6 linked regions of the Oryctolagus cuniculus genome follow. The protein of the gene in region 6 interacts with the protein of the main gene of each other region in a pairwise test. Links are inferred from orthologs where the notes say so. Each region holds a gene or a part of one and is shown on either strand. Other genes may lie near its edges.

Evidence for each region.
Region 1: the proteins of ARID5A (region 6) and PNMA1 interact in binary tests that used the Homo sapiens proteins (3 or more experiments, as listed by UniProt). The two-hybrid records come from large-scale screens. The link is inferred for Oryctolagus cuniculus from reciprocal best matches to the Homo sapiens genes ARID5A and PNMA1.
Region 2: the proteins of ARID5A (region 6) and CKS1B interact in binary tests that used the Homo sapiens proteins (3 or more experiments, as listed by UniProt). The two-hybrid records come from large-scale screens. The link is inferred for Oryctolagus cuniculus from reciprocal best matches to the Homo sapiens genes ARID5A and CKS1B.
Region 3: the proteins of ARID5A (region 6) and ATXN1 interact in binary tests that used the Homo sapiens proteins (3 or more experiments, as listed by UniProt). The link is inferred for Oryctolagus cuniculus from reciprocal best matches to the Homo sapiens genes ARID5A and ATXN1.
Region 4: the proteins of ARID5A (region 6) and SOX5 interact in a two-hybrid assay, tested with the Homo sapiens proteins (2 studies listed by BioGRID and IntAct). The two-hybrid records come from large-scale screens. The link is inferred for Oryctolagus cuniculus from reciprocal best matches to the Homo sapiens genes ARID5A and SOX5.
Region 5: the proteins of ARID5A (region 6) and RBPMS interact in binary tests that used the Homo sapiens proteins (3 or more experiments, as listed by UniProt). The two-hybrid records come from large-scale screens. The link is inferred for Oryctolagus cuniculus from reciprocal best matches to the Homo sapiens genes ARID5A and RBPMS.

What each region holds. Positions count from the first base shown.
Region 1 is NC_091451.1:19,888,534-19,893,615, forward strand, and holds PNMA1 (paraneoplastic antigen Ma1), read right to left. Parts: upstream 3,052-5,082; 5' UTR 2,001-3,051; coding exon 939-2,000; 3' UTR 210-938; downstream 1-209.
Region 2 is NC_091438.1:43,534,423-43,539,730, forward strand, and holds the start of CKS1B (cyclin-dependent kinases regulatory subunit 1), read right to left. Parts: upstream 3,254-5,308; 5' UTR 2,989-3,253; coding exon 2,930-2,988; intron 418-2,929; coding exon 290-417; intron 1-289.
Region 3 is NC_091436.1:143,602,630-143,607,160, forward strand, and holds part of ATXN1 (ataxin-1), read right to left. Parts: intron 4,033-4,531; coding exon 3,502-4,032; 3' UTR 1-3,501. UniProt on the Homo sapiens protein: Chromatin-binding factor that repress Notch signaling in the absence of Notch intracellular domain by acting as a CBF1 corepressor. Binds to the HEY promoter and might assist, along with NCOR2, RBPJ-mediated repression. Binds RNA in vitro.
Region 4 is NC_091440.1:121,152,247-121,157,448, reverse strand, and holds the start of SOX5 (transcription factor SOX-5), read left to right. Parts: upstream 1-1,883; 5' UTR 1,884-2,063; coding exon 2,064-2,134; intron 2,135-2,640; exon of another isoform or gene 2,641-2,783; intron 2,784-5,202.
Region 5 is NC_091433.1:80,425,142-80,430,333, reverse strand, and holds the start of RBPMS (RNA-binding protein with multiple splicing), read right to left. Parts: upstream 3,161-5,192; 5' UTR 2,879-3,160; coding exon 2,813-2,878; intron 1-2,812. Other genes in the region: collagen alpha-2(I) chain-like, read left to right, coding at 3,275-4,045.
Region 6 is NC_091433.1:111,160,240-111,165,390, forward strand, and holds the start of ARID5A (AT-rich interactive domain-containing protein 5A), read right to left. Parts: upstream 3,413-5,151; 5' UTR 3,277-3,412; coding exon 3,273-3,276; intron 1-3,272. UniProt on the Homo sapiens protein: DNA-binding protein that may regulate transcription and act as a repressor by binding to AT-rich stretches in the promoter region of target genes.

The sequences.
Region 1 (5,082 bases), on a different chromosome or scaffold from region 6:
TGTCTGTTTATAGCCTAACATTAGCCTTGAAGAACACATAAATATTGGATACATTAATACACACACATTGTGGGAGCGCTCCATCTCACTATTTTTTTTTTAAGTAAAAGGTTCTTTTTTATGACATGGGGGAAAGTTTTCCTAAGAAAAAAGAAAACAGCTTAATTACACTGAAAAATGTTAAATATGTTGGAAAAACTAGACAGCGATAGTTTTTAAAATATTTTTATTCTTATACATCTATTTGATAAGTTCAAATGTAGAACATTTAAAATCTGGGTGAACAAGAACTATTTTGACAAGGACTGGAAGGGGAGTGGGGGGATGGGTGGGTCACTGTCACCGGGTCCTAGCCATCTCCCCAGGTGGTTTCTCTGCGCGACCTCTGATCAGCACAGCTCCGGAACTGCAGTCCTTTTCCAGCGCCCCAGCTGGAGTCTCAGAACACTCTGTTCCACAGATCCGGCTCTTTAAAGATGAGCACTAAGAGATTTGCACTGTGAGGCTGAGCAGTATTACCTAAACAATGCACGTTTCTTTCCATTAATATAAACATGGAATGATTTACAGTCAACACACACTAGCCTCGACGCTGATAACAATGTGATGGTTCACGGTTCCTGCGAGCCAGGCCCTGGGCTAAACATCTGCACGTGCGACTTCACATTTATCTCCATGGGAAGAGTCACGGGTTCACACTTGTCACAGCCGAGGGTGCCGGCATGTCGACAGCGGGCGCCGCAGCCAGCAAGCCCATCGGCATTGTAGCAGCTCCCCATGCTCTGTGCAGTGTCGGCGGAGTTACAGGAACGGGCAGGCCAGAACCCCCTCCCTCCAAGAAAAACACAACGAAAACAGCAGGCAGCTAGGCCTTTACTACTCGGGACCAGGACAGCAGCTGCGGGCCGGGTCTGCACGGCAGCCCTCTTTCCTGGGGCTCAGAAGTGCCCCTCCAGGCCCAACTGCAGGAGCGCGGCCTCAGCCTCCTCCTCCTCCTCCTTGGCCTCCTCCTCACGGATCTGCACCAGCAGCTGGAAGAGGTTCGGGGCCGGCCCTTCCGCAGCGCCGGTCAGCCAGAGCTGCCTTCGGAGGGTCCCGCTGTGGTTGGCCCCGGCGATGACCTGCTCCAGGCGGGCCTGGTTCACGTTCTCTTTATCAATGGCCCCCTTCTCCACCACCTTCTGCAGCAGCGGCTCCAGACGAATGACGTAAGCCGACAACTTCTCTCCCGGGTTCTGGTACGTGTTCAGAAACCTGACCTGCGCATCCCTAGAGCTCTCCACGCTCCCGAACACCTGCTCCAGCGCCTTCAGGCACTCGCCGGTGGTGATCGCGGGGTTGCTGGTCTTGAGGATGCGGATGACGTCGGCGGCGGGGCCCCGGAGGCTCTCCATCAGCCGCCGCCTCTTTTCTGTGTCGGACACCTGCCACTCCTCTATGACTTCATTAGCGTGCTCCAGCCAGCAGTCAAAGCTCTCCTCCCCAGGCCCCGGGATGTCCCTCCCCGAGAACAGCGTCAGCTTCTTGTACCATATGGACTCCACGAGAGGCTGAATAACATTATCCAAAATATAGCTGAGCATCTCGGCTGGCATTTCGGGGCCCGGGGCCGGGGCCGGGTTCTGAAACCCAAGGACGCGGGCAACATCTTGCACGGTCCACCCCTCCCGAGCTAGGAAGAGGTGCAGCCTTTCTAAAAATTCAGCGTCAGACGTGGGGGGCTTAAAAAGCACTTTCCACACCCCTCCTTTGCCAGGCATCTCCCTGGGGATCGCGGCGTAATCCACAGCGCCAGTGAGCTCTAATAAGGCTGCTTTCGCGTTCTCTTCCCTCCAGAACATTCTCCCAAGCACTCGATACGGCACCTGGGGCATCGCAGCCTGGAGGGTCTCTTCGATTTCAGCCTCATCACAGTTCACTAGGATCCCCCAAACCAGCAGCGCTCTCTGGGAGTTCACGTCCATGCCCCTGCACCAATCTTCCAACAGCGTCATCGCCATGTTCCCAACTATCAAAGGTACCGATTCGACAGATACGGATCAGACTGCGGCTCCCCGAACTCCAACCAACACCAGACACTCCCCGCAAGCAGGCGCGCGGGCGGCAGGTCCCCGCGGTCGCTGGTAACAAGCGACACCCAAGCCCCGCTGTCCGTCTGCGGCTCCCCGGCGCGGCCTCGCAGGGGCTCAGTCAGTCACGCGGCTGTCGCCATCTCGCGTCCCGGGTCGGGGTCTGCGGCCCCAGAGTGCAGCCTGCGGGAGCCGCGGGGCCCGGGAGCGCCGGGGTGTGGCCGCGGGGCGTGGCCGCCGCTCCCGGAGTCGCCCCGGCGCTGGCGGTCCGAGCCCGGCCCTCAGCGGGGCGAGGAGCGGCAGCCCGAAGGAGCGCTCGGCGTGCCGGGCCCGGCGGGAGAGGCTGTCCGAGGTCACCGCGGCGGCAGCCGGGCCAGCCGGCGAGCAGCGGCTTCTTCTCGGGCGCGGGGACCCCTCCGGACAGCGAGGACCGCTGAAAACCGAGGGCTGAGGGGAGCAAAGACGCAGGAAGGATGCAGAAGCGAGGCGGGAGGCGAAGGCTGGTGGGGCCGGCCGGGCTCGCGTGGCGCGACGGGCTGCGGCGGCTGTGGCGCAGCTCGGCAGCCGGCGCGTTCCCGCCGCAGTGCAGGGCGGGGCCGGCCCGCGAGCCGCGGCCGCCGCACCGGATCCAGGTCGCCGGCGAGGCGCGCGCGCGTGACCATGGCAACGGTGTCCCGGACGACGCGCTCCCGAAGACTCCGTGCGCAGCGGCGCGGGGTGGGGGGAGCGGTTGCCATGGTACCGCAGCCATCAGATGTTCCAGACTTTTACAATGAAAAAAAAAATACCAATAAGCATCGAGGGCTTCTGTCTTCTAATCCGGAGCGGATTTCAGATACTAGTGGGTATCACCCGTGGTGGCTGACTTGCTCATGCAACTGGCGCATCAAGCCAGGTGCGTGGACGGCATCTCATCCAGAGGAAACGAAGGCTCCCAAGTATCCCACTTGTGTGACACACAGACTGGACACTTCCTCTTATCTTTTTTTTTTTTCTAATTTTTTTTTTTTTTTGACAGGCAGAGTGGACAGTGAGAGAGAGAGACAGAGAGAAAGGTCTTCCTTTGCCGTTGGTTCACCCTCCAATGGCCGGTGCGCTGCGGCCGGCGCACCGCGCTGATCCGATGGCAGGAGCCAGGAGCCAGGTGCTTTTCCTGGTCTCCCATGGGGTGCAGGGCCCAAGCACCTGGGCCATCCTCCACTGCACTCCCTGGCCACAGCAGAGAGCTGGCCTGGAAGAGGGGCAACCGGGACAGAATCCGGCGCCCCAACCGGGACTAGAACCCGGTGTGCCGGCGCCGCTAGGCGGAGGATTAGCCTAGTGAGCCGCGGCGCCGGCCACTTCCTCTTATCTAACACTTAGTCAAAAGGCCGGCCACCTACCTACCTACAGCTGGCAACGCACCAGTATTCTGTAATCCCTGCCTCGGGTACTCTTCAAGCCAGAGCAAGGGCCGCTTCGGTCAATCTCAGAGGATGAAAATCCCCCAAAAGAACACAGCATCCAACTCTGAATTTTTAAAACCTTATTTAATGAAAGGTTTAAAGATACAGAAGAACATTCAAAAGTAAATAAGTTACATAGGTACATTACAATCACATCAGCAAGATTCTCTTTAGTGTATTAATTTTTATATAAAAAGCACACAAAAAATAAAATCTTCCATCTGCTCTATCACAACTGTACAGCCAAAGAGGTAATATTTATATATTTATATATATGTACACCATTTTCATATGTAACAGTCTTTTTTAAAAAAGGTTGCCACAGGCAGCAAACACACAAAAGGCAGTGTCTGATCATCTGTTTCAAAATAAAAGGAATATACTTCTTTATATGCTATTAAAATATTTGTACAATAATTACAGACTGTCAAGGCTGTCCCCTCCTACAAGGCCTTCAACTTGGAGACAAATGAGTAAAAGGTGAAACAGAAACAGCTGCAAATCGTTAGAGGCAAACAGTAACACAGCAAAATGGGGGGGGGAGGACACTTGTTTTATAAAAATATGCACACTTCCTGTAAACCTAAAGGAGTCAGGCTTGCCAGTCTAGTAATAAATACTGTCCAGAAAAGCGGGCCCCCGTGGAGAGGGTGCTAAACAGCCGAGGCTTCGGGATGTGTTGTGTTCCTTCTTCATCTAGGCATCTGGCACATGAGAGATCAGGTCACTGAGGCAGTTAAGTATGGGCAGTTCCTTTGGCCGTGAGCAGCACGAGACCTCCGTGCCTGGGCGGAGGTGCGGCGGCAGAGGGGCGAGTGTGTGCCTCAGCGGTGAGGGGCGCTGCCGAAGGCATGGAGGACAGAACGATGTCACCGTCTCCTCGGATGGGAGAGACCTCAGAGACGGTCCAGAACACAGGCACTAGGGCAGTGTCACGCCGGTGGCTGACGGCAGGTGGACACTGGGAGATGGATATGGGGAGGCGGCGTGGGGAGATTACAAAGCTAGAGGTGTCTCTCGTCTAACTTCTTACAGCAAAGAGCTCGGAATAGGAGGGAAAGCAACAGAAGACAAGCCTAGGGTGTTCCCAGGGAGAAGAAAGCACCGTTAAGGATCGCCTCTGCCAGCCTCTATGGCTGCACCTACGCTACTGGCAGGTCGCATCTGCCCCCGAAACAGCTTCCTTCCCCACCGCATCTGAGGAACAAATGCATCCTGGAGCATCAGCCCCTCAAATCCGGTGTCTGTCGGGATTCACAGTCAGGTCCCCGGCTACGTTCACCTGGTCTGGTCTCTGTGAGCTTAGGGTGGAATCACTTTCTTATTTAAAAAGATATCCAAGTCCTGAATGCTACCACTGAGCAGAAGGGTCCCAGGTGACTGGAGGAGGCTTCTGTTACCACATGTCCATAAAGGGGCCTGAAACCAAATAGGGTTTAAATAGAAAAAACCTCGGGCAACCTAAGCAGCACTTTGGGGCTAAGCTGTGAAGGCACTCATATTACACAAGGATTTAGAAGAGAGCCTGAAGTTGCTACCCTCCTGTGTCTGCAGGGCACACCACGTGT
Region 2 (5,308 bases), on a different chromosome or scaffold from region 6:
AACACATCCAAGAATTGGCTTTCTGGTGGGAAATGAAGCAGAAGCCATAACCAGGGTATATGTGGGCTTAAAAAGAGTGCCCTCTGATTGAATTTAGTGACAGGCTGTCTCTGAACTTCCCAGACATATTACTATTATTTTCAGTCACTACAGCTTTGTTTAAACGGGAAAGGAGCAGGAAACGGGCCCCCCCCCCCCCCATCTCCTGTTTTCTTGGGTTCTGTGATGGTATTCCTTCAGTCCTTCAGTATAGTAGTCCTATCTGGCTACATTTAGCCAGTGCACTGACCTGGTTCGTGGATCATATAATGGACCCATCCCTGACTCTGCTGAACGCCAAGGTTCCTCCATTCAGATTCAGACATCAAATGGGTTTTAGGGACCAGCTTGGCTATGTCCTTGGGCAACATAACATGCCTGCAACAGAAACATAGGGAGATGGGGCATTTGTGTTAGTACTGGATACAGCCTGTTGGACAAGTGCCTGTATATAAAGCCAAGAAAGGAAAAAGAGAAACTGGCTTCTGGAGTTTATACAATCTTTTTTTTTTTTTTTTTTTTAAAGATTTATTTATTTGAAAGGCAGAGTTACAGAGAGGCAGAGGCAGAGAGAGAGAGAGAGAGTTCTTCTATCCACTGGTTCACTCTCCAGATGGCCGCAATGGCCAGAGCTGTGCCAATCTTGAAGCCAGGAGCTTCTTCCAGGTCTCCCACATGGATGCAGGAGCCCAAGGACTTGGGTCATCTTCCACTGCTTTCCCAAGTCACAGCAGAGAGCTGGATCAGAAGTGGAGCAGCCAGGCCTCAAACCGGCACTCATATGGGATGCTGGCACTGCAGGCAGTGGCTTTACCCGCTACGCCACAGTGTCGGCCTTTGAGTTTATACAATCTTATTGTGGGGTAGAGGCAGCTGAAAATATAGGCCAAGTTATAAAAATTCTCACAAGACTATATATATAGTTTTAAATTTTATTTATTTGAAATGCAAAGTTAGATATTTTCTGTCTGCTGGTTTATTCCCCAAAAGGCCAAAACAGGCAGAGCTGGGCCAGGCTGAAGCCAGAAGCCAGGAAATTCATCTGGGTCTCCCATGTAGGTACGGGGGCCCAGGGACTTGGACCATCCTCTGCTGCTTTCCCAGACACACTAGCAGGGAGCTGGATTGGAAGTGGAGCAGCCAGAACTTGAACTGGTGCCCGTATGGCATTGTAGGTAGCGCCTTAACCCGTTATGCCACAACAAGGCTCCTCGCAAGGGTATATTAAAGAGTGCGAATGAGTACTTCCAGTGACTGAGTGCCAGGCACTGTTGATGTTCATTTTCTGTGCCTTTGTGGATCTTAGGGTTTTCTAGTAATTACCCACAATGTAACAGGCCCTACAAAGAGCATGAAATGTTAACATCGATAAAGTGGGGTGTGGAAGACACATCACAGAGGTGAACTGTTAGTCTTCTTTCAAAAATCTTGAATCTCATTTTCCTAACTCTGAAGGGGCATGCCATGAGACTTGATTCTCTGACCAAGGATGAGTCTCCATGGCAAAGAAATGACTCCTCTGACTGGAACTGGACTCATTCAGATACACTTCATCACACGCAACAAAAATGTCCTAAATGCTCCCTCAGCACTAATTATCAGAGGTTTTTTTCCTAAAGAGATAATTCTAGTCTAAATGTCTGAAAATAGCTGACATTCTAACCAGCCCCTGGCACAAAATCTGGCCTCAGTACATTAAAACAAAACAAAACAAACCCCTCTCTTAAACCAAAACGCCACTGCCAAACTAACAGTTACATCTTCCCAGGGACGAAACTAGTGATGTCTCCCAGCCCTGCAAACACGTCATAAGCATACAGTTGGAGTTCGCTTAGTTCGGATGTAGAGGAAAACAGCTGAGGGAAATAAAAGGAATGGAGTCTGAGAAGGATCTAGGATGATCCCAGCCTGAAGCTGGTTATGTGTCTGTAAACACAGCCCGAACCGGGCTGAGGGAAGGCACGAGAAAACCAAGCTTCCATTTCCCCCTCCATTCCAGGAGGCAAGATAAAAGCCGCAAGCCGTCTTAAATATTGCAATTGATACAGATTAGTGTGACGACAACACTTGTAGAATTCTGTCTTTCCTCCTTTTCCAATCTAATATTCCTATGGGCTCAGAACTTATCAAACCCAAACGCTCCCCCATCTTGGGCATCTGGCCATCCAGTACCTCCGGGACAATTCTGGTCAAGCTGTACTTTTCCCTTCGTTGCTACAGTGTCACCTGAGGGCTCTTCCAGGGAGCCCCCGCCCCTTCCTTGCCAGGCTGTGTGTCCCCACCACGCCCCGCTCACGGCCCGGGCTCCGCAGGCCCACCACCTTCTTCCAGCCGTCTGCCAGATTCTTGCTCAGAATTTTAAAGACCGTGAGATGCTCACATCCAGTAAACAAGTGAAACCTGCACGCACTCCACTGGTTCTCAGTGCTTCTCGGCACTTTAATCCCCGGCCCGGTCCTCGACGCCCCCGTCCTAAAACAAGCCAGACAACCACGCCTCTTTCCTTCCCCAAGAATAAGCAGCATTAACTTCCTCAGCATTCTCACCGCTCGCAGTGAGAACGCGAGGAAAAGGCCAGCTCCGCTGCTGACACCTTCACCCAGTAGACTCCACAGCAGCTCCCAGTGAAGCTGAGACCAAGACCCAGAAACCCACAGGGTGAAGGTGGTCGGACTCATCACGCCTCCCCTCAACCGGGGGCTGACTCCAGACTCCACTGTTCCAGGGCGCCGGCCACCCCCCGCGCACGCGCCTTCCGCGTTCCACCAACCTCACACCCACCCCCGCTGGTCTCCTGCGCATGCGCCCCCTCTGTCGCCTCCATCCTCGCTACCAACTCCTCGTGCCTTCTCTTCTCCCGACCTCGCTACGGCCCCCCGCCGGCACTAACCGGTACTCGAACTCCTCGTCGTCGTACTTGTCCGAATAGTAAATCTGTTTGTGCGACATGATCGCTCTGCCTGCGGGCCGTCAGCCCCGCGCTGCCAACCTCCAAACAACTCCCAGCAGCACGCGCTCCCACCCTCTTTGGCCTCGCTTTCAAACACACCGCCCGCACTTCCCATTGGTCCTTTGGGCTCAAGGCGGGACAGCTCCACCTTCGAGCCTCCTATTGGCTTAGGATTTGCTTCTCCTCCAGTCTTTATTGGAGTGCGCTTCTTACGTTTCTCAAGCACAAACTTGGGTCAGAGCTAGGCCTCTAATTGGTTATCGCGGCGCCTGTGAGCGCCTTCGCGCTACCATTGGCTGATTCAGGAAACTAGGCGGGGCGAAGGAGGGACCGTGAGGTAGAGGGTCAGGGGTTAGTGAGGCCGGAAGTGAGTGTAATAAAGTTTCTCCAGGGAGGCCGGGCCGGGGAGAAAGTTGGAGCGGCGACCTAAGCAGGCAGTGGCGTGATCCGGAACCAAATCGGCCCGCGGCGCGGTGCGGAGACCCCATGAGGCCCTGGTGAGTTTTCACTTTTTTTTTTCTCTTTAGGCAACCCACTCCTCCACCCCGGAACCCCTCTCCCGGGACCCCACTTCCGGTCTTCACTGCTAAGTCCCGCCCCTGAGACCCCCTCTCCGGAAGTCCCACCTCCCAACTTCAGGGGGCTCCCTGAACCCCAGTTTTTAAATTTATTGTCTCCGACCCCTCCCTGTAGCCCAGTTTTCCTGGAAGTCCCACCCCCAGACATGCTTCCAGCTCCACAAGAAACGCTTCGTTAGTCCTCCCAGTTCTTCCAAACTCCGCCTCCTCCTCGCGACGATTCTCCGCTAACTCCTGTCTGTCAAAGATCCTATCTCCCAAAAGGGCAAAGCTCTGCTCTTGAAAGAACGATTCGAATTCACTGAGGCCACGCCCCTCGATAGGCCCCGCCCATAGAAGCCCCGCCCCTTCCGCAATCCACGTCCGATTGTCCCGGAGCCTCATCTCCTGGAAGTCTGCTGCGCATCCTAGAGGGCCACGCCCCCTAAGGAACTCGATCCGGGTGGCACCCAAGTCATCACCCCAGTTTCCTCAGTCTCAGAAGCTCCACCTGCTTACGTTTCCTGTCCTTTCTCTCTTGGGGCCTTGGGCTCAGTTTTCCCGAGGGCTTTCCCGCTCCACTAGGTGGGAGCTCTGAGGAGTGAGATTAGAGGCAGCCTTATCCTCCCCCAAGGGTGGGCCTGGGCTTGGGGTTTGGCCCGAGGACGGGACAGAGGCTTGCTCATAGTTTCCCAGCCCACCGCAGAAACAGCTGTAGGTTGAGGCTGTGGCTAGACAGGGCCGTGGATTTGCTGATGTGTGGCTTGAGGACGTGACAGGAGAGAGAACTTTGTACTACCAGAAAACGGTGGTTTGCAATGGGGTTAGGGATTTGTATCCTGTTTTTTTTTCTTTTTTCTTTTAAGGGACTCCTCAGCCTCTACTTGTTTGGCTCCATCCCCCGCACCCCCAGCCAAAATTCTTGTCTGGGCATTCCTCCTGGCTCCACTTGTCCTGCCTTCCCTGCTGGAAACATTCCTCAGGCTTTCGCCATTTCCTGCCCCTTCCCGCTCCTCCCGCCTCCTCCCTGCTGGGCTCCCCCCTCCAACACCCAATCACCTGAACTTCCAGTAGGCTCTCACTTCTCCCTATGCAAATTTAGAGACAGACTCCCTCTTTTCTTTGAAATGCTCACACCTGTTGGTCATCCTCTGCCTGCCCATACTGCAGGCTTCCAGAGAGTGCTGACCCTAAGGATGAGGGTGTGTGTGTGTGTGTGTGTGTGTGTGGCTGTGGAAGAAACCTTTCCTTCTCTCGGCCTGGGGTCTTAGGAAATAGAGTGACAGATTCTCCTGCCATGAGGACGAAGAGGAGGTGAGAGCGTATCTAGCACATTTTAAGTGCTAGAATTGGTCATCGTTATAGATTTCTTTTAATCTTCTGACTTAGAGCTAAGGGTAATTCCGAGGTGAGCCTAGGGGAAGAGGTATCTACTTCTTGTGTTTTGGTCATTTTCCAACTTCCTCCAAGGCTTCCTCAAGCAGAGCTGTGGCAGGAAGCCACGGAGGTTTGGAGGTTTGGGACTGTTCTCCGCACATGGTTCACTGCCACATGTTTGCCTGCCTCCTGACCTCCATCGCTTGGTGACTCCTCCCCTGGTGTGAGGGGCACTGCTGGAGGAGGGCTGGGAGGATACCTGGTGGGCCCAGGGACTGCCCTGTCCTCACCCTTGCCAGCGTGCAGAACAGTGCTTGGCCACTGGCCACTGCCTGCTTGGTGTGGTGGGTGCCAGGAGCAGAGGAGGAGGCTTGACCCACACGTC
Region 3 (4,531 bases), on a different chromosome or scaffold from region 6:
TCTTGGTGATTGTGTTCAGTTGTAAACACAGAAGGCCTGCTGTTAGTAGTTTAAAAATGGAAAACGGGAAAGAAAGCGAGCATGCGAGCCGGCTCTGAGGCACGCCTACCAAGTGGACATGGTGCACGGCATGCGGCTGATCCTTGGCAGTGGAGGGGCACTACAGAATTTCAACCCCTGTCATCCACAGGTTTGCTACACAGAGCGCTGGCCACAGCCAGGGGCACGCCAGCGTCGGGGGACGAGAGGGGGCTTCTCTGCCCTCTGTGCATTCTTCCTCTTTCAAGAGAAAGCTGCTACAGGGACAGAGACCATGGTTGGCAGGTGGTCCCCTCCACGGTCACGGGCCAGCACACTCAGCACGCATGCACACAACAGGTCACACTTGTTGCCCCACGCTCAGAGGACACAGGCCTCGAGACCATGGAAAATGGGTCGCCTCCAGCCTACGTTGCTCCAGAGTGCGCCCCAGAAATCCACCTGCCTCCTTCCTGTCCATGCTCCATCATCACTATTCCGTGTGGTTCTCCCTGGGGTCTCCTCAGCTGGCCCCATCCTGCAGTGGGGTGACAGACACTGGGGGCTCCTGCAGGCTCCTGCCCCAACACTCAGCACTCGCAGTGGGAAAGGCGGGAGGAGGCTGCCCTTCCCTGGCCAGAACCGGGGGGGAGGGGGAGGGCGGGGGGGGGGGAAGAGATTGGAAAGATCACGTGAACAAGGAATAAGCCTAAAAGGAATGAGCTTTCACTATAGCACACTGGTCAGATTCTATTGGCACGGAAAGTATTGCACATTCTAAAAAAAAAAAAAAAAAAAAAAAAAGCAAGAGTGTGTGAAATGGGACAGATGTTTAGAAAGAACCAATTGTTTTACAATTCCTATACCTGAAACAGAACCATGAAAAGCATGAGGATGTTCCTATTGCTCCAAACCATGTGTGTTTTCCCGTTTTAGTGTTGGGGTGGTGGATCCGGTCAGTTCAGTACGGAAAGTAAGCAAGAGGGGTATCGTGTCTCTCTGAGTCCACGTGAGTTGTAGATAGTGGTACCACTGAGAGCAAAGTCTGTGTGGCAGCCCCAGAGTCCTCTTACCATCAAAGGTTAAAAAAAACAAAAGGGAAAAACAAAACCTATTCATTGCAAGTGCCCTGAGCAGAATATATGGAAGATTAAGCAAGTTCTCTAAACGGAAATGTTTAAAAAAATACAACACTACAGAAGCAGTGTGACCGCGAGGGTGGGAGGGCCCACCAGGTCCCACCCCACCAGCTCAGCTAGAAAATTCAAGGAAAGAGTCTAGCTATTCTTAACCTACTCAGATGTTTTTGGTACACCCCAGAAAATGGTTTATAAGAATCATTAGTCCCTGTGAGAACCAAATGTAAAGGAATCCTAGGGAGCCAACATGTGGGTTGATGGTAGCATATTTTCTTTTGTAAATTCATAAAATGGCAGAAGTCCTATTTTCAATGGCCACAGAAACATCGAGTAAGTACTTTCTCAGGTTAGCTGCAGCCATCCAAACAACAGTCAAAAATTTCTCCCTGCTTATAAAACCTTTTTTTTAAGCATTTTAAAATGCACTCAAAACCCACAAATGATATCAGATATCTGGGAATGAAAGATGTAACCTATGAAATACCCTTTCTGGGTTTGTACCAAACACGAAATCTTGATTGGATTCCAAATAGAAAAAAAAAAGTCATCTGAAAACATTAATAACAACAATAGTAAAGTAAGTCTTTAAAAAAAAAAAAAAACTTGCTCACAAATACAAATGTTGATGGAAAACTCTCTCAGTGAGTCTGAAGACAGTTCTCCAGGTTGTCCTGCTGAGACCTGGCTTTTTGTGACAGAGGCGGCAGAAAGACCAAAGTGAATTCTGAAAGGAACATAACCTTATAAAACAGCCTAGAGCTTAGGCAGTTTAGAAAGAAATTCTGCTACATTTATTTATGCTCGTTCAGTCCCCCAAACCTTTCCCACAATGTTATTAGGTAAAAACTGCAGGAATATCACACCAATTATAAACTCAAGATGTGCAAATCGCAAGGTTCTTTAAAAGTTCATCTTAAAAGGAAAAACACTGGACAAAAATGAGGCTTCTCTCCATCCCTTCTCTCTGTTTCTCTGCCAACTCTGCATATATGCCTTTCACTCCTTCTCCAACATCAAAGTGACAAGTGCCTCCTGTCAGGTAGTACTTGGTGGTCATTTTCTGTCATACACTAGCTCGTCATTCACGTTCGTCCCTTTCAACCACACGGAGACTTTCCAAATCTTGCCGGGAGCAACTCTGCAGAGCTGAAATGCAGTTAACAGTGTTGACAAACAAAAAAGAAAGCAACTTAGTTTTTGTGTGTTGGTTGATTTTCTTTCCCGAAAGTTGAAAGTGAGATACAGTACTCGTTGAATGACACAGATCAAGATGCTTGATGATAAAGGGTGACAGGCATTGTAAGTGCTTAGAAAACAGGAATCTATGCTCATTTTCAGAATCGAATTCCTCGTGTCACACTGGAATCTGAAAGCAGTGGCACCCGTGCTGTCCATTGCCATGGACTCTTAAGTAGGACTGCAAAGACACAAAGACTTTGCCAACTCAGCGCGAGAGCTCCTGGTGCTCTCACTGCTGGGTGGTCTGCATCTACCTTTCTGGAGCCACAAGGCTAGGATCGGACTGGTTCTCCTAGCACTGCACAGAACCAGCGAGGGTGTTCCCTCACCCCAGCCCCAGCCCCCCATCATGGTGCAAGCTGTGTTGGGGGTGGGAAGGGTGATACGGGCAGGGCCTCCCTGCCCACAGCGACACCCTTGGCGACATCACTGCACTAGTAAAGCAGAAATGAAATCCCACGTGTGGCAGTTGCTCTTTAAAAAAAAGAAATATGTATCAGTGCAGTCAAGGCCCCATAGGGGGAAATATATCTCTATATGATTAAAAGTTGCTTTTATTGTAAAATGTGTTGGAGAGAAAAACGTTCTTTGAAACGGAGAGCTTTCCTTTCCATCTGCCGCCTGCCCTGAAGCTGGGGTCCTGATGTTGACTTTGAATGTGGGAACCCCAGGAGGATGCTGCTCTGTACCGCCCCCTACCCCCAGCCCCCGCTGAAGGCAAGAGGGCAGCACAGAGGGAGGCAGGGGCCGAGAGACCCTCTCACCCGCCCGCTGTGGCCCCCACGCACCCTCACAGGCACACGCCCCTCTACCCCTGCAGGTCCCTTCCCATTGGCCTCTCTCGGGACCCCGGCGGGCCCGGGCACCTGCCGGCTGCTGCCCTGCCTGCCAGTGGCCCACCCGCCACTCCCCGACAGACACTCGCGGACAAAGCGTATGCACCAGTCTCCTGCGACACACCTGCTGTAACTGTAATGACAAGGTTAGAACAGAAATCTAAAGTAAGAGGATAACATGTAAATACTGTGTTATTTAGCCTACAGTACAGTAATCTGGATACGAAGGAAGGGCACGGGACGGCCGCGGCGCCTCGTCCGCTCTGCCTCTACTTGCCCACGTTAGACCGGCCCTCGATGCAAATCTTGACCTCCTGAGGAATCAGAGAAGGCTTGGGAAGAGTCAAAGGCGGCTCGTCCTCCGACTTCTCCAGTTTGCGGGTCTCCGGCGCCGACCACCTCCTCTTCCTCGCGGCCGCGGGCCTGCTGGGTTCTACTTTCGTGAAGAAGGGTGCTGCGGGCAAGCCCATCTTCTCTGGAAACTTCAGTTCACCGTTCTCAGACAGCATCTGAGCGCTTCCCTGATTGAGCCCGTTCTCCTGCTCGGCGTACCTGTGTCTGCTGCCCGCCAGGCTGTCGGTCTTTGAGCGCTTCAGCAGGACACTGGCAGCATCTGCGGGCTGGCCCTTTTTAACAGAGCCATTCTTGGCGTTCTTGAGGGTGAGCGAGATGCAGACGTCACCTACTGAGAGTCTGGAACACGGCAGATCAAAGAGCTGGCTGGTTCTCTCCGGGCAGCAGGACGACCAGCCCTGTCCAAACACAAAAAAAGGATACTCGACCAAGACTTCCACGCTGACCTGTGGGAACAGGGAGAGACAGAGAGGCAGACAGGAGGGAAACCAGTGAGAGCTCTGTATGATTTCCTTCCTTCCCTTCCTTCCCTTCCTTCCCTTCCTTCCCTTCCTTCCCTTCCTTCCCTTCCTTCCCTTCCTTCCCTTCCTTCCCTTCCTTCCCTTCCTTCCCTTCCTTCCCTTCCTTCCCTTCCTTCCCTTCCTTCCCTTCCTTCCCTTCCTTCCTTCCTTCCTTCCTTCCTTCCTTCCTTCCTTCCTTCCTTCCTTCCTTCCTTCCTTCCTCCCCCACTCACACACACACACACAGGCTGCATGTTAATAAATTAGACTCCACTAACAAACTTCCCTTCCCTAGCAACACAACACAATGAGGCCCTTTGCTGCCTGTTGTATCTGCGTTTACTACATAGAGAAGCTGGGCAGGAGCCAATGCAGAAAACGGTCCAGTGAAAAGGTCCATTCAGTATCCAAATACTTCACTTAGCATTAGCTCTATCCCTGGTCT
Region 4 (5,202 bases), on a different chromosome or scaffold from region 6:
TTGGAGTTCTCATGATTATGATGGCAAATACTTCAGTTCTGAGAAAGTTCCAAGTGTGCCTATCTCTCACATAAGAAGCTGTTGTTCTGGGAGTGATTTGTGCCTTATGTATATGTTCTTTTCTCTCTATTTTGAATAGGGCATACATAGTGTCTGCTTTGTAGATTTTTCAGCAGCTTCTGTAGAAACAGGCTGCAGCCATGTCTATAGGACACACAGCAAGAAAGTGAGAGCCCTGGCTGGGTCTGAAGTTAGCAATGTGTAAACCATTCGTTGGCTGGGCTATTTGGATTCCAAACAGTGTAAGGGATCATCATATTTCTCTTCATTGGGCAACTTAGTCCTCAACAGTGCTGGTGCTGACACTTAGTTCTCCTTTAAGCTGTGAGCAGCCTCCCTTCTCATTTCTACTCAGAGAAAATTGTTCTCCAGAGGTTTGCTCTCGATGGCTTAACTTGCTTGATTTCACAGTGACCTTTGAAAACAAAAGAAATTAAAACTCGATTGGTTACCTAATTACTTTTGTCTTCATTATTAGATACTAAATAAATTAAACATGCCACAGATTTTATTTCAAGCCCCACACCATGCTAGGAAGAAATCACTGTTGATTATGGAACAATCTGCTATGTCTTTGGACTTATCCCATAATGAGAGAGAGGGAGGCTGGAGTGCAGTAGCGTAGTGGGGGAGGGCGGCTTTAAGAGGAAGCCCAGATAAGGACGTGGGGAAGGAGGTCAGAATAACTACTTCAGTGTATTATTTCAGAAAGTGAAATTTTATTTCCTCTCCATAGTTTTGCCATCGCAGTAATGTGAAGTTCTGGTAGGTCCATTATGACCAAACTTCCTTCCAAACGTGTGAAATGATAATTTTACAGAGGACTCGGTATCACTGAGATGCAGAAGGCACTCTTTCCTAATCAAAACAAACTTATTTGCATATGTGCCTCTCCCGACCAGACCAGTGACGTTCATACTTGAAAATCCGTCTTTCCCTATGAATGTGATGGACATGGTGAACTATTTTGATAAGTTGTTAGAAACATGGCCACACATACTGTATGGAAACACACACATGTGCGTATGAACACCTCTTCATGTGGCGCACATGAGGAGACAGTGGCTGGCATTACTGAGAGGTGAGTGTTTCTCAGTGCAGTGTGATAGTTAGGCATCACACACCACACTTGCCTTTCCTTTACGTGGGAGAACGAACCTGAAGGAGTTTGCTTCTGCTTCTTCATCCTTTCTTTTAAAATACACAAAACTTTCAAGCAAATACCTTTGCACTTTATGGTAAACGAAAGCATCTGATTATGATTAAATTAACCTGTGCTTAGGTCCTTGCTAGGTTCTTTAAAAAAAGAAAATAATTATGGCTATCAACGTATCATTAGATAGTCAAGCCTTTTCTCTCCTCTTCTTCATCTTCCTTTCTTCCTTCTCACCCCCTCACCCCCTGCCCTGGCTTTTTCTTTTCTTTTCTTTTTTTTTTTTTTACCCTGCCCTTATGCACACACACATGGCTGCATAGACACACATGACACAGAAACCTCTCCAACTTCCCTGACAGGTTCATTCAGGGATAGAACAATAGAAATGGAATTAATCCCTCTCTCAGTAGCAATTGTTGTGATAGAAAATGGAAAAGATACTTCCTTGTTATAGGGTTTCTATAGACAGTTTTAAAAAGAAATACAGTGTTGAGACTAGATGAGCATTTCATACAGTGTTCTTTCACTGTGTATCCAGCTATCTATAACCTGAAATTTATACATGTGGCAACCATATGTCTCAGAAAAAAAAAAATCCAGAAGACTTCTGATTTTGAAGACTTTATTTCTGTAAGCCAGAAGTGCACAATTACTTGTTAGTCAATTTGTTCAATCACTTCTCTGAACTTCTGGGTCAGATAAAATGGTACTTATACTAAATAAAAGGCATGAGTTTTTGTTTGGTTACTTTACATTATTAATACAAGGCTTATGCAGGGCATACTACAAGAGATAATTTTTGCTAATCACCAGCTTCTGCTCCCCTCCAGTGCTTTCTGTCCCAGGAATGGGGTATGTGGCTACTCTGTGCTCAGCTTCCAGACACACAAGGGCCGAGCATCTGGGGAGACTCAGGAGGTGACCACTTTCACGCTGACTCAGAGACCAGCCGTATGACTCCAGTCTGGCGCTGTCACGCCTGGTTATGGAAAGGAAGAACAATGCCTCCCTTGAGAAAGGGGAGAAGTCCAGTGCAGTCACAATTTTGATGTAAAATTTAAATCATCCCTCCACATCCTGTGGACTTAGAGCTGTCAGAAAGGCAAAAACCCATGCTTAAATGGAAAAAGCTTTTTATTTCCTCAAAAAGTATACTGTCTTTAACTATAAATAACAAGTTCTAGAATCATAGGGCTTCATGCTAGATTATTTCCAGCAATTTATAAATAATCAGAACAAAAGGACTTTGACATTTTTAACCTGTAAATGGCTGAAGGTTAAACATTTTTTTCTGTTTGTGATACATGACAAGTATGTAATAATACAGGAGTTAAATAACACACAACAAATTATTATGTATGGACTTGTTTTTTTTTTCTCTCTAACTGAGACATTTGGTCATTTTATGTACAACTTAGCAGAAATTTCTCTCCAGCATTTAAAGGTCTTATCCATCTTTATTATGGTTTCTTCATAATTTCATGTTGAAATTTAGTATATTTGGTGATTCTAGAGATTCTGTGATCAAATGATTAATAATTCAAACACAGGAGCTTCTGATTTTGAGGTAAGGACATAAAATTGTCAGTGATTCTAATGAAGGTGAAGAAGGAGGGCTCTTTCTTAAATAAAAGTGTTTATTGCCAGATTCTTAAAAATCACGAGAAAACTTTGATAATATTTTCAAAACCATCTAGAATTGTGTTAAACTATCTAGCTCTTTGATTTTTGAGAGTGATTTTGTATTTAGGAATCATAAAACTCTCTTAAATATGTGTTCATTTAGTCTTGTCAGATTTATTACAATGAATTCTAACATCTTTCCTAAGTATAAGAACGTTATGGAATGATTACAATACAGTTTAATGAAACTTAATGTTCTTTCTGCCTTCCTGTGTATCAGGAATACTATTGTTTGAGGCACTTAATAAATGTGGATTAATTTAAAAATAATATAAAGGCTAAAGATAAGAGGTTTTAGCTGGCACACTTACTTGCTAAGATAAATTTTATTTCCATAGCCCAGCTATTATTATGTCATTCATAATAAAGCAAATTTTATTTAGAAAAAATTTGGGGGAGTTTTCAGCTTTAAGACATAGCTTTATATTTTGGAGTAAAATACATTAAGCTTAGAATTAGGGAAACAGTAAGAGAATAAAACAGTGAAGATGAACTTTTTAAATATTTACTTTTAAAATTTTATTTATTATTGGAGGCAGGGAGAGAGATGGATAGACAAAGATAGAACCCTCATTCATTGATTAACTCCCCAAATGCCTACAGCAGGTGAGATTGGGCACAGCCAAGGCCAGGAGCCATGAACTCAATCCAGCTCTATCATTTAGGTGCAGGGACCCAACTACTTGAGGCATCACCTGTTGCTTGCCAAGGGACACATTAGCAGGAAGGTATAGTCAGGAGCCAGGGACAGGTGTAAAACCCAGGCACTCCAAACAGGCATCTTAACTACTAGGTCAAATGTTTGCCCCAGAAATAGGTTTTGTGTTCTGAGTCTCTGTAGAAGGGATTTTACTGTCATTAATTTGTACTTTAAAAACGCCTTTCTATTTTGTTTAGAAACCACAACAAGACATCTTCAGTTGAATTTCAATGCTTACTTTAGACATGTTAATTCAAGCATTTCTGAAATATCCTGTGCTTAACTAATAAAGAAGCACATATTTCATTCAGATATGGATGGAAATTAAGTTCTATTTCTGAGTCTTATCTATCTTTAACTTCAGTTTTTTTTTTCTTTTAGTTTTACCACTTGCTGGGAGAAAATTACTGCTCCTTTTTTCTTTTCTTTTTTTTTTTTGCTCTTATCCTCCATGCATACCTGACATTGTTGGGATAATAGAGGCCAGGTAACAGATTCAGGCAGAGAAGAGCACAGAAGTGGTGAGGACGTTCCAGGGACACCATTCTCATCAGATAAGAGGAATGGTGCCATGATATTCTTGGTTACAATGCAGACACCATCTCAGACGTGAAACATATGACAGTGGACAAGAAGGGAACAGCTTTGAGAAAGAGCCCTTTAAAGGCTGTTGGTAACTACAGCATATTTGGTTAATATTTTTAAATACAGCTTGAACTTTTATAATACACAATGCAATATTTTGTGCAAATTTGTATTATATTTCAGAACAGAATATTAAATCTGTTCACAAGTAGCTGTAGCTCAAAAATCAATTTTTTTTTTAGAAGTACATGTTAGGGTGCATTTTGTTGATCTCTGATGACATACACAGTAAGGATTAAGAGGAAGACTGGTCTTTTTTTATTACGTGTTGTCTGGTTTTGAGATTTCTATGAAATCTGTGTTTCTGTTTCCATCTGTATTTTATGCCAGGACCTGATGAACTTGGCGATGCCTCGGAATAAGAGTACAAGGAGTGAGGTCTTTGTGAGTGGGAAGTGACGGGTGGAGAAGTATGGAGACTGGCACGTTCAACATCAGAAAAGAGGATTAAGAGGAAGGAGAAAATGTTGTCGACGTTTGATAGACTGCATGTTTACCACAAATAAACTTTCTATTTAAGGGAGTTCTGGATACTCTTTATGACAGACTTGGTTATGAAATTTACATGGAACATTCACAGAGTAAACCCACAGCTAACTCTTAATTTAGTGGGAAAATGAAAATGTTCATAACCCATTAGAGGTAAAAGGAAAGAATGAACCATAAATACAAATAATAATCATCTAAAATTACAAATAAATGAAACTGACTTTTCTTTAATAAGGCATAATGCTAAGTTTGTGTAATTTCTGTTCGTACATCCAGTAGAAGTGCTGATCATTTTGCCCCTTTGACTTTAAACCTTTTTGTTCAAGCTGTCTTGATTCTCTTCTCCATATTAGATAGCTAATATTCTGTGAATAACCCTTCAGTATACAGGACAGTTGAGTTCAGAATGTTGATTAGCCTTCTCACAACAGCTTTAATTAAGAAGAGAACCAAACAAGTAAATGTACAT
Region 5 (5,192 bases), about 31 Mb from region 6:
GTGACAAATTATTTCTTAGGACAAGATGGTCTTGAACATATTATAACTTGTGAATGATAGCTGATTAGGTAAGACAAACAATTATGAGTCTGTTACTTCTAGATTTATCAATTCCAATAAAATCTGTAGAATTAGAGACAAACTCCAAAATGACTTGAGAAATGATCTAATAAATGTACAAAAATAAGCTTTTGAAATCCCAGGTCCCGGTTAGATTGTGATGACTGATTCCATACAGGGACAACTGCACAGGAACACACATGTGTAACACGTTGGAAGGCCAGGTATCCTGGCTTGCTCTTACATGGCCGGCTAGCCGGAACTGAAGATTATTTTTCCTCAAAGTTTTACATGATATCCAAAGTGTATTCTGCTCAAGTTCTCAAAAACTCCCACCACCAAAAACTGCAGAAATTTCTCCTAAATGCTGGACTGCTCATTCTATCCAACTGGAGCTAAACGGGGATTTAGGCATCTTTTTCAGGGTCGGCATCAGAAACTCTTAACCGGGGTTAAAATACACTGGATGATAAAAGGAACTCATTTCCATAGAAAATGACACAACTTGGACTGCACAAGGTGGCAAACAGCCGAAGCACCCTGACAACCACAACATCGACCGTTTTCTCACGGTGATTGGAACTCACTGTCCACTGCCGTTCACAAGTCACCAGAAACAGCCCTCCTGTCCTGGTGTGTGCGTGTCCGTGTTACACGTGTATGCCCTGTCTCCTGCGGCCCATTGCCAAAGCTTTCTGAAAACAAACCGCTGCTCCTCTGGGTGGGCAGGCAAAGCGGCCAGTGCAGTGGGATTTTGTGCAATGCTAAGCTCACTGAATGGCACCCACCAAATGCCATATTTATTTAACTTGTGGCTTTCAGGGTTAGGAAAAAAAAGGGGAGGGGGAGAAAGAGAGAGGAGGTTAGTGTTTCAAAACCAGAATGTCAACCATAAACCCTCTCTGGTCAGGGTGTATCCGCAGTGTATACTCTCGCTTCTTATACAACCTGGGTTCTGAAACCTTCCTACCTCCTGTCTTATTTTTTAAGTAACAAGCGTTTTGCTAAAAAGACCTACACCTGGAGGAGCCCACGCCTTTCCCACCCGGAAAGGAACGCTGCTGGGGAAACTAGAAGCAATGCCTGCGACTTGGATGGCCTCTGATCACAGGGACCCACAACCTCGCGATAACCGAGCCCATCCAGGCAAATCCTGGCGGCAGTTCACCTGGCATGGGTCAAGAGAAAAATCTGACTTCTGTCGTCCATTCGATTTTAAGTTAATTGGATATGGTTTTCGAGACACCTGAGCCCATTTTGCTACTACCAAAAGAAAAAGAAAAAAATCTGCAGTCTGATGAACTTTCTCTTAACTACAAGTTTCCTCAACTGGTTAACAGAGAAAGATTGTTTCACAAGATACACTCTCACACTTAGGAGCGGCCAGATTGCCACTCTAAGTGGAACAGAAAGGTTTCTGAAGCAATGATTCTCTTGACGGGTTAAGTGAATTAGCTGCACATGCCAATTCCTGAAAATGCAAATTTGCCATCATTTTTCAGTTTTTAAAGGACAGGGAAAATAAACTAAACAGTAGAGAAGCCAGAAAGTGGAATTTGGAATTCCAGCCTTGGTGTCTTTTTAAAAGCACTGTCACGAGTAGTCCTACATTTGCAGGCACCAAACAAGAAGGGGCAAACAGCTTTTCAAAATAAAGCTTTGTCATAAAACAGGCGATTTCCTCCAGGAGCCAATTCTCAGCTTACTAACTCACCCAGGTGACAACGCTGCTCCACGGCGCTACCTTTTGCATTGTTTTGCATGGTCTTCGCCTGTCTCTCCTATTTAATTAAATAGCTCCAATTTTACACGTGGACGACTTAAAAGGGCTGAGGGATTCCTGCACGAGGTCCACTTCCAACTCTCGGGCCCGGCGCTGCGGCACCGCCTCGCCGCCCGCGCGCACCGCACGCTCTCTGGCTCCCGCACACACGCGCGCGAGCTCTTGGCGGAAGGCTGAGAGCCCCAACTTCGAGGGAACTCAGCAAGTGAGCGGAGGCACTGTTTCTGGGGCTGCGGGAACAGTCATTTGAGAAACCCCACAATCATCCCCTAACTACGGAGTTCTGGAACGTGCGTCCCGCACACCCCTTCCCCACACTTCCTCGGCTTCGCGTTTGCCAAAGGCAAGTGCCCCCCAACTGCAAGCTGTCTCCCCTCCAGGATCCCGGACGCACAACCCAAATCAAAGTCCTACCGCAGCGTCCTGGCCAGCATTCCGGGAGCGACGCTTTCGGCCCCTCTCATTCTGCTCCCCACATCCACACCCCGCCCCCGAAGTCTACCACAGCCCGGGGTTCGGGGGTTCCCGCCTCGCGGGCGGCGAGTTATCGATGAATCCACACACGCCCCGGCTCCGGAGAGACTTGGCCAAGAACTTTTCACACCGGCGCCAGCGCCAGCCCCTAACAGAGCTTCTCCCCAACTCCTTCCCAAAGCCGCCCGCACGCACGCACACAGACACACGCACTCCCTCCCGCCGGCTTCCAGCCCCTGGCGCTCAGAGAAGCCCTGACCCTCGGGTCCCAGTAACCTGAGGTCACCCAGGAGTCAGCTCTCGATTCCGCTTTTAAAATCCCGGGCACACAAAGCCGAGCATTCTACTTGGAGGGTGTCTCCGCAAAGTTCTGCAAGTCACGCAGCGCAGGGTGCGCGGACACCCCCAGAACCCGCGCCCTGGAGACGCACCCAGCCGGGGCCACGGCGCGCCGGCCCCCGGACGCGCCCCGCCGCCCGCCCGGGCCACCGCTACCTCTTCCTCCTGGAGGTTGGCCTCGCTCGGGGTGTTCTCCTTCTCGGCTTTGCCGCCGTTGTTCATCTTCCCGGTCCTTCGTCGCCGGGCAGGGCTGGGGCGCGGGGCTGGGCGAGGGCGCGCTCGCCCGCTTCTGCCTTCCCCGGGGCGCCGGGGCTGCCTCGGGCGGGCGCCGCGGGGCTGCGAAGGCTCGGGCTGGGCTCCCGCGGCGCGCAGACGACGGCGGCGGGCGACTCGGGGAGGAAGTGCGGGCAGGGCGCGGGCGCGGGCCGGCCGAGCGGGGCGCGGAGACAATCGCGACCGGGAGGGAGACCTGGGGCGGGAGGGCGGGCGCGAGGGAAGGAAGGAAGGGAGGGAGGGAGGAAGAGAGGATGGGGCGAGGGCGCGCGTCCCAGGAGTGAGCGCGGAGAGCTGGGGCTGGGGGCTGCCGCTGCCGGAGCAGAGCGAGGCTGGAAGGAAGGGATGGGGCGGCCGGAGAGGAGGAGGAGGAGGAGGAGGCGCCGGCCGCGGCTGGGACGCTGGGACGCGGAGAGCCGCTGGCTGCGCGCTCCTGGCCGGCTTTGGGAAGTCCGAGTCCGCTGCAGCTCCTTTCTCTCGCCTCCCTCCCTCCCCTCTCCGCTCTCCCCTCCCTCTCCGCCTCCCTCCGCCCTCCCTGGACGTGGGCTGCCGCCGTCAGCCCGCAGGGACGGGACGGGGGCCGCCGAAGCCCCCCGGCGGGAGGAGGGGCCGCGGAGTCGGCGCGGCCCGGGCCGGATGGCGCGCGCCGGGGAGGGGCGGCGGCGCGGAGCGGAAGCGGCCGACCCCGGCCCCGGCTCGACGGCAGAGCGAGGGCCGGGCGGGCTGAGCAAGGGAGGCTGGAGAGCCGGGTCCCCGGGCGCACGCGGCGTCCCCCGCGCCCCGGCTCGGAGAGGGGGCTTCGGGGAGCCGGGCCCTGGCCGTGCGCGGACCGGGGGCTGGGATGTGCCACTTTTGTTTGCCTGCTTTCCACGAGGGAGCTGCGCGCCCCCGGGCTCCTCGCCGGTAGGGGCTGAGACGCGGGTCGCGCCCTCGGGGCGAGGGCTTGGAGGCCCGGGACGGAGGAACGCCGGGGACAGCCGGGCCCCCGTGAGCCCCCCGCGAGCCCCCCGCCGGCCCGCTCTGGAGTTGATTGTTCACCTGGCCTCTCTTTGGGGAGCGCCTTCCTGGCAAAGGAGACCGAGCCCTGTTTATCCGGCTAATCCCGCGGCTGTTTAAATGAGCCCCCCGGCACACAGTGGGCACTTTTCTAAACGAGTCTTGGCAGGCAGCCCTGGAGGGTCAAGGCATTCGGGCAAAGCGAGGCGCCCGCCTAGTGTTCCCGCCGCGCCTCTGGGGGACTGCCTACTTTATTTTCTCGTCCGTGAAATGGGTGCAGTTACCCCGGAGTGTGGGGGGCACGCCTCACACCCTCCTGCCCGCTGTAGGCTTACAACATGGATGCTAACATCATTATGAAGAAAATTTCCATTTCTTCTGGGCCTGGAGCCTTTTGTCTTATGGGTCCAGTTATGCGTCTAAACTTGACTGCTACAAATGTATAACCTTACAACTCGCAACTAGTTCGTTCAGCGCCGCCTCCCGCTCCCAGGAATTCCTTCCTGCACAGCACCTATCACAGTTTCTATTTATTGACTGGCCTGCCCTTTATCTTGCCTCCCCTCCCCCCTCCAGAGCTTATACAGCTTTGAGTGCTGGTGGGGGTGGGGGTGACAGCAGAAGATAAGACCCTGCCTGTAGGGAGCTGAAAATGGAGTTGTGGAGACCAGATACCAGGAACAACTCCAAAGCAACAACATCCTGGCAGAGCACAAACATCTTTTGCTTTAAGGGGATCAGGAAGGGCCATTCAATAATCTTCTTGGATTTACAAGAGAGTTTCACAAAGTTCATGGAAAATGCTTACTATGAAAAAAAACTATGCATGAATTTCCAACCCCCCCCCCAATTTTTTGCAGCCTGGTAAATGTATATTTTCATTCCATCTTTCCATGAGCTTTTTTGAAATACCATGGTATGTACCGGGTTTGTTCTTTGAGGTCTGCAGATTTTGAAAGAAAAGTTTTCTATCCGGGAAAAAAAAAAGTTTTTCTCTAACTGCTGCCACGGTGTCACCGATCTCTCTGGGAATGAAGGTGCATTGCACATCGATGAGAATAACCTAGGAGGAGGCTGTTGAAGCCGCAGCTGAAGATGTTCCGAGGGGCGAGGCTACGGGGAGTCCGGAAGCTGTGTCTGCCTTCTGATGTGTTGGCCTGGGCTGGCAGCCCTGTCCGCGGCCTGCTCCTCCCTCAGTTAGAGGAGGAACCACGAGGGGGCGATATCTTCCTGAGCAATAGTTGAGCGGTGGTCTTGGGCCCTGTGC
Region 6 (5,151 bases):
TTTAGGGCCACCTGCCCCGAGGAGTCAGGTCTCCTCTGCAACCTCAGAGGCTCCTTCTTCAAGCCCCTGTGCAGCTCACAGACGGGCTTAGCCAGCCCCTGGGCATCAGCCGTCAGACCTCACGCCATGGACCCCCTGCGATTCTCTCCTTTCGCCACTAGGAAGAGGCCCAAGGGGGCTGGGCGTCTGGGCCAGAAGAGGAGGTCTCCCCGCCCCCCAGGCAGTGAGTGGGCGTGGCTACGGGCTCTGGGCCGAGGATGGCCCCAGGTCCTCCTCGTGTTATGAATCTTAATCTCTGTTCAGCTTCACGGCTTGTGCCTGAATCCAGCTCAACCCCTGGACCCTAAAACCACAGCAGTGGGGAGGTCCGTTTGGGACCCCCGGATGTGCCTGAAAGTCATCTGGGTCTCAGGCCGCTCTCAGCTTTGCTGTGCACGCCACCTGATCCAACAGCTCCCAGACTCAACCCCGCCCCCACCCCCGCCACCCGCCCCGCACTCTGGCTGGCCTCGGGGCGGGCACCTTGCCCCGTAGCCTTCCTGAATCTTCCCAGCCACCCAGGGGCTGTTATTCCCTCTTTAACAGATGTCGCACCCGAGCCCACGTTCAGGAACCTGCCTAAGGTCACACAGCCCACCAGTGTTAGGGCTGCAATTCAGCACGAGAGCCCTCTGCTCCAAGACACCCTAAGATCTAGGGTTGTTTTGGCTTCTTTTTTGGGGGGATCGCCGAGACCCCAAGTTCCTAGCTCAGAGGGCAGAAACTTGCCCTCTGTCCCCAAGTGGATCTGCATCACGTCACCATTACTCTGCCAACAAGAGCTGGTCTGTGTCGACTGCTAAGTGAGCCAAGTGGTGGGACGCGAGGCGGCAGGCTGCAGCCAGGGCGAGACCTCCACCCCCACCCGCCTCGGGCCCAGCTGCCCTGGCCCAGGAGGTCCCCACCATTGCATAGGAGGTGTCCTCTTCACAGACTCGAGGAAGGAAGAACTGCTGATACCTACTGAGATTTCTCTAACAAACCGCTTGCTGAAAGAGCCGGGGGCCGGCCCCTGGCCAGGGCTCAGCCTGCCTGGGAGGAAGGTGAAGGCAGCAGGGCGGGGCGGAGGGTTCCCAGAGGAGGAGCTTAGCTGGGGTAAGAAGGTGGGTACAGGGCATGGGGCAGTCGGTGGCCTAGGAGCCTGCCCTCTGTCCACCCTGCCAGACAACAGCTGGGATCCAGTGAGAGTGGGGCAGGAGGGGGATTCAGTGAGGCCCTAGCACCACACAGCTGCAACTTGAACCAGTCACTACTTTTGTATCTCGGTCTCCCCATCTGTGCGCTGGGTGCGCTACGCTCAATGGGCCAAGGTTCTAAGCAGAAGAAAGCGAGAAAAGAGGCTTCGCCACAAACCACAGCCCAGCCTGCACGCACACACCCCTGGGCGAGACTGACGCCTGCTGTCCTGCCCGCTGCCCACCTCGGCAGGTGCTCCTGAAACCTCGGCCTGTGCCCAAGGTACCCCTGATGCCCAGGCAAGAAGTGTGACACACCCCTTGCCCTCCCCCTCTCTCTGGCCCGCCCCACTTACCCCCTCGGCGTGCTGGGAAGGAAGTGCCACTTCCTTTCATGAAAAGTCACGGACTGGGAACACTGCGTCAGTTATGACAATAATGGTAACAGCGGCCTCAATAACAACCAGCAGACACGGCCCCACCCCCACCCCCCGCCCGAGGTTGCTGGCTTTGGTTTCTTAGAGCTGGAGCCGAAACAAAGACAGCCTTGGAAGCGGCCCATCCACCCCGTGGCTGGGAGCCGGCTGCCTGGCGGTTGCCACTCGAACCTTGCTCCAGGGCAGAGTTTGGAGCCAGTGCTGCGGATGGACGAGCTGCACGTGGGACTCCTGACGATGGAGGGCACAGCATCCGCCACAGCCCAGCCCCCTCAACACCTCCGCTCACAGCGGGAAAGGGACAGGGTTTGGGGGCAGCTGGGGCCAAGAGCCTTGAGAGGGTACAGACAGATGGGGGTGTTGCCTGGGGCGGAAGCACCAAGTAGGGGGCTCCCTGGCCCTCTCTAATTAGCTCTGGAGTGTCCTTAAGGAACTGAGTCCAGGACAGAGTGGCCCCACTGCCCTCCCTGCCCACAGTAGCAGCTCCCACCCTGACTTGTTTCCTAGGTGTCCGTCCCATCCATGGAGAAAGGTGTTAAGTGACCTGTCCGAAATGGCACCGCGTGGGCAAACGGGAGCTAAGGAGGAGAGGGGAGGGCTCTTGGAGGCCTCCCACTGCCAGACCCACGCTGGTCTCCCGGCCTCAGTTCCTTCTCCGCCCTAGCGCTACCTGCAGTCACAAGGAACCCCCCCCCCCCACACACACACCCATTCGTGGATTGGCTCCCAGCAGGGCAGCTCGCTTGGAAGCAACAAGCACCTGTTACACTCCCCCAGGGTCCCGCAGACCCCTCCTTGCCGGCACCAGCAACGGTGGGCCAGGAGCTCTCAGGGGTCTGCGCCCGCGGGGAGGAGGGCGGCGAGCCCTAGACCATGCGGAGGCGCCCGGGTTGCGCCCGACTCCGGCTGAGCGCAAAGCGGAGCCCGTCTCCTTCCCTGCGCGCCGGCCCTCTCCGCCCCTCTGGCTCCCCGCCGCCACCCCCTTCCCTTCTGGAGACCCAAGGGAAGAGAAGAGGAGACAGAGGCGCTGGGGAGGGAGCCCGGAGTCCACACGGGCGGTGGCAGCACGCCCCTCCGCCACTGATCTTCCCAGCGCGCTCGAGCGAGTTCTTGAAAACCCGCGCGGCCACTTTCAGGAACCGGCGGCCGCCCAGGGCGCGCCTTTCTCGGCGGCGCGGGCGGTTCTGAGAACCGCCGGCCGGCGCGGGGGCGGGGGCCGCGACGGCGCTGCTGACAGCTGTCACAACAAATGAGCGGACCCGCTCGAGATTGAAACCGCAGCAGGAAGTGGGGCGGCAGAACCCTCCGGGGTTGGTACATCTCGGCCCTGGGACGGCGGCAGGAGTTTCGAGATCAACGCCCGGGAAGCCCCCCGGCCGCCAAAACTTTTAGTCTTTCCCTTGCCCGAAGAGCGCGCGTAGGCACCCCCGGCCTCCCACATGCCGCGACGGGCTTGGGGACGCCGGCGCCCGGACGGCGCTCGCTATCCCGCGCCCTCGGCCCCGCAGCCGCCCCGGGCCCCGCTGCGCCCCTCCAGAGCCACACCAGCGGCCACGAGAGCCGGCGTCCTCCCCCGCGGGGCCGCCGAGCCCCGGGCCGACCGGGTCGCAGGGCCGCTTACCCATGGCAGGGCGAGGTCCCGCGGCGCCCGCTCGGGACCCTCTCCGCGCGCGCGGCTCTCCGCACCCCGAGCTCCTGCTAGACTGCCCGCGGAGCCGCTCGCCCGCCGCCTCCCCGCAGCCACGCCCCGCTAGGGCACCGCCTCCGCCCCACTCTGAGCTCCCATTGGCGGGTCCAGTTTTTTAGCCACGGGCAGGGGCCACCCCCTGTACCCGAAGATCTCTGGGAGTTGTAGTGCGCACCTCCCTCTTCCCGGGGTAACGACCAGGACACCAGGAATGGACTAGACGCCTCACCCAGGGAAGCTGAGGCAGGAAACCAAGAATCATTGCTACCTTGTGCCTTGGTTTTCCTCTAAGCAAAACTAGAGTCTTGGAAAACCCTTGCTCTCAGCAGAGCCTTGAGAACTTGGTGGGGTGAGCAAAGTGTGCCTGCCTTTGACTTGAAAGTGGCTTTGGGCACTCCCACAGCACAGCATAGGAGGAGAGGAGGTTGGCTCCATGGCCAGTGTCCACACAGGTCACATGGACAGGGTGGCAGCTCCAGGCTGAGCCGGTCCAAATAGGTGAGGATGAGGGTTAGGGTGCGTGGAGGCAAAGAGGCACGGAGCCAGCAGTAACTCGGACCTGTGCAGGCCACAGAGGAGAAAGTGAGGTTCAGGGCTTAAGGGCGGGGTATAAACTTGTAGCCAGCTGGGACCTGAACTCTGTTCCTTGCACGCAGACTTTTTGGATTATATTTTTAAAAGATTGATTGATTTATTTAAAAGGCAGAGCTGGAGAGAGCGAGAGAGGTCTTCCATCCACTGGTTCACTCCCCCAAATGGCCACACTGTGGTTCACTCCCCACAATGGCCAGAGCTGGCCTGATCTGAAGCCAGGAGCTTCTTACAGGTCTCCCATGCAGGTGCAAGGAGCCCAAGGACTTGGGCCACCTTCTACTGCTTTCCCAGGCCATAGCAGAGAGCTGGATTGGAAGTGGAGCAGCCGGGACTTGAACCAGTGCCTATATGGGATGCTGGCATTGTACACAGTGGCTTTACCTGCTACACCACAGCGCCAGCCCCTTGGATTATTTTTAATACTCATGACAGCTCTATGCCCTTCACACCATCATTGTTCTCTTTTCAGGATAAAACTGAGGGCTGAGAGATTAATGCAAATAAGATAGATGATAGGACATGGAGCCAGAGCCAGACACGGGCATCTGGGCCTGGAAGAGGATCCCTTATACCCAGACAGCCTGCACTTGTGGTTGTACCCTGGCCTGCCCAGCCCCGATACAGATTACGGTTGCTCCCTTTGACACTAAACAAATCGACCAAGGCAGCAATAGGTGTAGCTGATCCTCTGGCCTTACCCTTTAGCCCCAGGATGGCAGATAGCTGCAGGCTCAGCCCAGAGCAGACAGCACTGTGGACTGCACAGGCTAAACCCCTCGTCAACCTCATAGTGGTCGATTTGTAAGAGTGAGCTCTCCTAGATTTTGTAACACATACATCATAGTCAACATTTAGAACCACTTTTTTAAAAAATGTATTTTATTTGTGTGCAAGGCAGAGTGACAGGGAGAAAGGAAGAGACAAGAGGAAGAGATCTTCCAACCCCTGGTTCACTCCCAGCCAGAGCTGTGCCAGGCTGAAGTCAGGAGCCTGGAGCTCCATCTGGGTCTCTCACGTGGACATCAGGGGCCCAAGCACTTGTGTCAGCTGCTGCTGCTTTCTCACACACATTGGCGGGGAGCTGGATTGGAAACAGAGCATCTGGGCCTGGAACAGTGCTCCCATATGGGATGTTGGCATCACAGGCAGCAGCTTAACCCACTGCGCCACAATGCCAGCCCCCAAGGACAATGGTTGTAATGGTGATTAAAGCAGTGTG